Linked DNA regions of Saccharomyces cerevisiae S288C. The main gene of each other region encodes a partner of the protein of the gene in region 2 in a complex. Each region holds a gene or a part of one and is shown on either strand. Other genes may lie near its edges.

What was found. Proteins that work in one complex are often made in the same cells at the same time.
Region 1: SFH1 (region 2) and NPL6 share a complex: the UniProt entries of both Saccharomyces cerevisiae proteins name them as parts of the two forms of the RSC complex.

Annotation. Positions count from the first base shown.
Region 1 is NC_001145.3:449,528-453,247, forward strand, and holds NPL6 (Npl6p), read right to left. Parts: upstream 1,839-3,720; coding exon 531-1,838; downstream 1-530. Other genes in the region: YMR090W (uncharacterized protein), read left to right, coding at 1-401; AIP1 (Aip1p), read right to left, coding at 2,105-3,720. UniProt on the Saccharomyces cerevisiae protein: Component of the chromatin structure remodeling complex (RSC), which is involved in transcription regulation and nucleosome positioning. RSC is responsible for the transfer of a histone octamer from a nucleosome core particle to naked DNA.
Region 2 is NC_001144.5:776,114-779,873, reverse strand, and holds SFH1 (Sfh1p), read left to right. Parts: upstream 1-2,009; coding exon 2,010-3,290; downstream 3,291-3,760. Other genes in the region: PEX30 (peroxisome biogenesis protein), read right to left, coding at 1-659; U2-type spliceosomal complex subunit CWC24, read left to right, coding at 922-1,701; MMS22 (Mms22p), read right to left, coding at 3,570-3,760. UniProt on the Saccharomyces cerevisiae protein: Component of the chromatin structure-remodeling complex (RSC), which is involved in transcription regulation and nucleosome positioning. RSC is responsible for the transfer of a histone octamer from a nucleosome core particle to naked DNA.

The sequences.
Region 1 (3,720 bases), on a different chromosome or scaffold from region 2:
TGGATGGCTGTATCAAAGTTGTTGAAGCATGCGAAAAGGCTGGTATCAAAAGGTTCGTTGTTGTTTCAGCGCTCAAGGCGGAGGATAGAGATTTTTGGTATAACATTAAGGGTTTGCGTGAATACTATATTGCAAAGAGATCTGCTGATCGTGAGGTTAGAAACTCTAATTTGGATTACACTATTTTACAGCCTGGATCGTTGGAACTAAATAAAGGTACCGGTCTTTTGCAACCCCTTGACAAATTAGAAGAGAAGGCTTCTGTTAACTACTCCATTAACAGGGAGGATGTAGCTTCTTTTATTGTGGAAAGCTTGCTACATCCAAATGCAACAGTGAAAAAAACCATTTCGTTGGTAAATGGCAACGAGCCAATGGAAAAATTCATTCAAAGTTTGTAGATCAACCTATTTACGCGTGAAATGCATATGTAGATGAATAGTCAAGAAAAGAAAAAGAAAGTGAGAATATATGAATTTTTTTACCTTGATTTGAAGATAAAAATTTGTTATATTGTTACATTGAGTATACTAAATATATTCGTTGCATTTTTCGAAATTTTGTTGTTCGGTGATAGCCCTTAAAACGTCTTCATCAACAACGTCTTCATAGATCTCTTTCGGGATTTCCGACAGTCCCGTTTTCGGTTTATTCAAATCGTTATCGTGTATAACGGTCTCATACACAATGCTTGTGTCGCTGGGACTATCGTTTTTTGATCTCCTCCATCCTAAAACAGTGGTTGACTGTGTGGATTCTGGTATGTGTAATATATTTGTGTATGCATCTCTCAAGCCTTGTTGATCTACAAGAAGAACCTTCACTCTATCATAAAACAAATCGCTATTAAATCTACTACACGCAGCAGAATGCTGATAGAGCCAATTTGTAGAGCTCAGCTTACTACCTGATGCAATAATATTAGAATTACTCATGTGACCATGTGGCCTGTGTTCAAAGAATTCCACCTGGTTTTTTGCAGGGTTTATGCCATTCTCGGAAGCAGGATACATCATGGTTTCTAAGGCCCTTGCGGATTTATCAATAGGATCACCAGCAAGTTTTCCTTCAATTACATTTCCCTTTGTTCTTAATTCAGAAGCATAATAATCATCGGTTATATGTTTGCCGCCACGAATGATTTTAGCACCAAATTCTTTAAACACGCCTCTAGCGGTGACTAGAGCGATTTGTCTATTTCTATATGAATAAGGTAAAACGCCACGGTCTATCAAGTCGTTCTTTTGAGTTTGATTCAGAATGAACTTATAAAGGTTGGGGTGAGTTTGAAAAAATAAATATGAATCTCTAAAACCCACTATCCTAGCCGGTTCGGTGGCCAGCATAAACTTTCGATTCCCCTTCTCAGTTAATGTGAAGGTGCGCACTAAAAATTCTCTGCCTCCTAATAGATCACCATCTGCAGTTATCTTCGTCTCACCTTCAGGATCATCTGGTAGAACATATTCTTCATTGACCACTTTCAAAGGATTTAAGTTCTCCTCAGCATCATCGATTCCGGGAAATACTGGTTTTTTGAACTTTGAACGGTTTCTAGATCTAGTAACGCCTTTATCCTCTGACAAATCCTCTTCTTCGTCCACGTGCCTCCTTTTGTTTCTTCCGCTTTTATTTATCTGTTCCTCCTCATCACTTATTTCTTCTTCATTCACTCCCTCATTGGCTTCTTCTTCTCTGTAATCATCATCTTCATTCTCATCATTTTCATCAATATCTAAATCCTCAGTATCAATTGCATAATTGGGTCTGTTGCTAGTAGATCTTGACCGCTTCTCATGTTCAACTTCGGAAGCTAGACCTCCCTCTGAATCTGACATTTCTGCTAGATGGTATTTCCTTCTTCAAAAGTAAATGTACTGTATTCAGTAATGCTTAAACTTTATAAAGCTGTTTTCTTGCAATATTTTTGTCTGCTCACAGTAACATGTTTAATAGTTCGAACGGGTTTTTTTTTAAAAGAGCGAAGTAATCAAAGCATTCGGGTAATAATTACAAGTTTATATGGACTGTGGTAAAAACAGTGTAAAACTTTTTTATATCTATTTTTCTAAGGTTACGTAATTGTTTACTTTATATTCTTATCTCACTCGAGGACAACATTCCACCTTTTAATGCAAGCGTCCGCACCAGAACTAACCAAGGTAGATGGTGTTTCCCATAAAAGGTTGTTAACACCGTCCTTGTGAGCATTCAACGCCTTAATGATTTTCATAGGTCTTTTGACGGAGTAAATAAAAATATTGGTGTCTAAAGAACCAGTGGCAACTAAGTCCTCTTCAATTTCCTCTTCGTTTGCTCCCTTTTCAGCAGGTTTCCATGAAATGGCGTTGATTTTACTGGTGTGGAAAGCCCATCTTGAAGTTTTCACTTCTCTTGATTGTAAATCATATAGCAATATCTTGCCCATAACATCTCCAGCAGCGATGTATGTTTCAGATGGCGAAATTGATATGTACGAGGGTTTTGCGCGAAGAGGTGTTTTTAAATCAAAACTGACTTCCAAATCTGATAATTTGAATACCTGAATAGTATTACCTTCTTCCAAACCAACTGCAACGTAATTTTGGCTCAAGCTAACGGCAGAGCCTGGTGAGTTCAGTCTTACACTCTTGATTATATCGCCCGTAAAAGACTGTAATATCAACAAATCATCATCATTTGTTAGTACTGCAGTGAAGCCATCATTGTTCGCACTAGCAACCTTTGGTTGCGATCCAAATTCATGCTTAGTAATACCGTTCACTTTCAAAGTATCATCCCAAGAAATACTGGAGTATTCTTGCGCTTTACTATTATCCAATGATACAATCAAGTTGGAGTGATCTTGGTGCATGGAAGAGCTAGACCATTCCATAATCCTACCATCATATGACCCACTGATTAGTGGGTTGACTGTCAAAGCAGTAATACCCTTGTTATGACCACTAATGGTTTTTAAAACCTCGTCATGTCCAAGTTCATAGAAGTTTAAGGTCCCATCCAGTGAAAGAGAAATAATCCTTCCGTTTCCTGTTGCAACAACACCAACTTGTTGATTTCCCAGTTGTTGCTTGTCTAAGGTCCATTTTTGAACGCATTTTGAAGTCGTGACGTCCCAAACCCTAATGGTAGCGTCTGCTCCTACGGTAGCAAACTTTTGGGAATCAAGCCACGATAGTGCAAATATACCACCTTGAACTGGTTCTTGATCATCCTCTATGTATTTAAGAAACTCACCTGATTTGCCATCAAAGCAAGAAATCTTTCTGTCAGACCCTACCGTAATAACAAATTCACCGCTGTCAGGTGAAAATTCAACATCCCTGACAAATGAGCCTTGTTTGTGGTGTGTTCTGTCACTGGCAGAGAACTTAAATGGAGGTCCTTGATAAAAGACAACAGATCCATCATCTCCAACTGTCATAGATCTCATAGGTCTAGATTGCTTCAAATGACAAGCATTGATGCGTTGTGAGTGACCTGAAACTTCACCTAAGGAATTACCAGAATCCCAGGATATGAAAACACCAAAGTTATCACGACCTTCTCCCACAACGCAGAGTCTTCGCCCTTCAAAATCCCAGGAGATATCGCTGATTGGACCTGCTAAAACTTGGAATTCAGACTTAACATTCACTTCAACAGAATTGCTTTCTTTGTCAAATGTCCATCCCCAAACAATCACTTTTCCAGATTCGTCACCGGAGCATAGGTACTGGG
Region 2 (3,760 bases):
TGATACGTTAAAAGGAACATGCCCACCATCAGCATCAAGCTTCTCGGTGGTAAAAGTAGCCAGGTTATCATCACGTATATTGGAGATAATATGACCGTAGTATATAGAAGCCGTTGAATATCTTGCGTTCCAAGGTTAACCATGGGGGAGAGCAAAATATCTGACTTCAAGGATACTCTGTTCATTAAGAGAGCAATATCTTCTAATGTTGGTGAGGAGCTCAACGTACCCTCAATATAATTGTCCAATAGGGAATAACCCCACAAAATAGCAATGATGGCAAGATGTCCAAAGTACTTCACCAGCGTTTCAAAATACTCAACGGTAGTAATAAAGAGACACAGCATCAAAACACTGCTCCAAATATTCTTTCCTGTCCATGTAACAACGTTTAGGAATTCGTCAATGAGAATTAAATAAGGGTACAATTTCACCAACGCCTTTGAGATTGTGGGCGGTGTTGATGTCAAAAGCGGCGAAGTAGCTACGTTAACTTTCTCCAATGACCCGTTATCATTATCCTCAGACACCCCGCTTTCAGCTTCGTTCTTTTCCAAAGCAGCTCGTATCACTTTTGTAGTATTGCCACCAATCCTCGGTTGCAGCGTCTCTGCAAACTTGGCTCTAGTCTCATGCACGTTAGTTGTGTTACCACTCATTGAAAATCAGTTTTTACACTCCGGAGGATCAACTAGACAGCTCGAATCCTAAATTGCAACCTTGCATGCCCACTTTACCTCAGTAGCGAACGTATCCAAGTATATATTTTGTGAAGCTGATCCAAAAACCCTTTAGTCCTCTTCCCGCTTCTTTCCGTGCAACCGGAGAATAATAAGAAAAAGCCATGCGCATCTCTATCTGAAGTGGACTCAAGCTAAAGCCATCGAAAGCTCCATCACTTAATCAAAGCTCCAGGTATTCATGTTCAGAAAGAGATTAGTGAACAAAAGCTCTTCTGATGAAAAGAACCAGAAAAAGAGGCAGAAAATTAATTTTAGCGAAGAGAAACTAGTGGCCAGCGATGAAGAAAAGGGTTCCAGTGACCTCATGAGCTTAGCCAAGAGTGGAAATAGCAGGACACTTCAACTTTCACATGAGAATGAAGGTAAACTACAGAAAAAGGGTGAGGATTTAGATAAATACACTTTAACGGTCAACGACGACAGCACTAAAGAAGATCTTCTAAACTTTGAGAGAAAAGAGCTGGCTGAGAAGGCAAAGAAGAGGCGACCTAGTGATGACAATGAGCTGGTACTGAACATGAGCGGTAAAAATAAACGCCTCACTAAACAGATTAACCAACCAACGAATATCCGGACCACGGTGCTGATGGATTTTCAGCCCGACGTTTGCAAAGATTACAAACAGACGGGATACTGTGGTTACGGAGATAGCTGCAAGTTCTTACACTCGAGGGATGATTTCAAGACTGGCTGGAAGCTGAACCAAGAATGGAATGCGGATAAAGAGGACTCCAAAGCGGTTACTCTAGACTTGGAAAAGATACCGTTCAAGTGCACTCTTTGTAAGGAAGATTACAAGTCTCCAGTGGTCACAAACTGTGGCCATTATTTTTGTGGATCGTGTTTTGCCAAAGATATGAAAAAGGGCACCAAATGCTTTATATGCCACAAGGAGACCCACGGCAGTGCAAAAGTAGCATCTGACTTACAGAAGATGCTAAATAAAAGGAAAAGTTGATGGAGAATGCCATATCACCCCAAAAATTACACGCACCCGATGCTAATGTACAGGAATTATAGAGCACATGACCCATAGATTTATCGAGCATTGTTGCAATTTCGAAAGACTCTTTCACATAATAAAGTATGTAAACTATATAGATAGAAGATGTCCCGTGTCTTTTTGTCTACTAAATGATGATCTGCTCATTTAAAGTCGCCGCGACTACTTTGACAAAAAAAAAAAACTTAGAAAATACGACAAATAGAGATTATTGAATGAAGTACATTGAAAAAAGAAAGAAGAAAGGCACATAGCAGCACACAATGTCGCACCAAAACCAGCTTATTCCACAAGCTTATATTTCTAACTTTCATAACAGATTGACAAACGAAGATGATGGTATCCCCATCTTTACAATGGCTCAACAAACAAGGCAGCATAAAAGGGCTAAAGTGGTCAACTATGCGGAATATGACAACGATCTCTTTGATGAATTCAATATGAACGGTTCTAATTTCAACAATGCTGATACACACTATAAAGATAATGCAGTGTCTCATGAAAATACTCCGGCACTTACAAATGGTGTTACCATGGACGGTTCCGAATACAATGTCCTAGAGAACATGAATGGAGCTGATAGTATTATCTCTAACAACAAATACGATGCGGGTTCAAACATGGTTGTGGAATCTTTATCCGGTTTGAATAGCAATAACAACGCCAGCAATGGTCCGAGCAACAAAGCGCAGGCACAGGATATTGGAAACGCCGTTCTACCGGATCTGCAAGACCAACACCACAACCCCTTCAACATATTGAGATACCCTAAAATAAGAGATACTTTCATTAACGGAAAAGTGGTGTCTCCATATAGACTCAACACTGATCAAGAAACGAAGGCAAACGCCAATTCTGGAGAGGCAATCATGATACCAATTACTTTGGATATAGAACATATGGGTCATACCATAAAAGACCAGTTTCTCTGGAACTACAATGACGACTCCATATCTCCGGAGGAATTTGCCTCTATATACTGTAAAGATCTTGATATGACTTCCGCTACCTTACAAACTCAAATTGCGAATATAATAAAAGAGCAGTTGAAAGACCTCGAAAATATTGCAGCCACTGAGATAATGTCTGACCTCCACGTGATAATCAACCTAACCTGCAACTTACAAGACAGATTTTTTGAAGATAACTTCCAGTGGAACTTGAACGACAAATCACTTACTCCAGAAAGATTTGCTACATCCATTGTACAGGACCTTGGCTTAACAAGAGAGTTCATCCCCTTAATATCTCAATCGCTTCATGAAACTATCTTGAAGATAAAGAAGGACTGGGTAGATGGCCACTTGATTCAGGACCATGTCCCAAACGATGCCGCATTTGGGTACTTATCTGGTATAAGGCTGGATATTGATGAACTGGGCTCCAATTGGTGCCCAAGGGTGGAAATATTAACAAAAGAAGAAATACAAAAGAGAGAAATTGAAAAAGAAAGAAACTTAAGAAGATTGAAAAGAGAAACTGATAGATTATCTAGAAGGGGCAGGAGAAGATTAGATGACTTAGAAACCACAATGAGAATGTAGTAACTTTGCTTTTCTTGTTACAGAATTGTATTATTATAAGTATTATTAATCAAACGGGAAGGACAAAAAATTTAACAAACGCAGAAGCAACTAAATCAAGACTAAAGAGAACGTAAAAAAAGTCATGCACTTCTTTGAGATACACGTTACCAAAAGAATACAAAATGTTTATCACCAACACTGATAGATCTTGTTTCTATTTGGACTAATTCGCAATTTGACATATATGACATATATTACGGAGAATTTTTAAATATGCTTATATTACATGTGTATAATTTACGTATTCTTGAAGGTTTTGAAAGGTTCAGACGCCTCAATTTTTCCTATATTACTTTCTATTATCTTTATTACAATCGCAGATAGCGAACTTTGCAAAGTAGTATGAGGAATCTGATTAGGTATGTTCATATTACTATCAAGCATCCTTAGCTGCAAAAGTTTGTCATGCTCCCAAAACCCATCTGCGA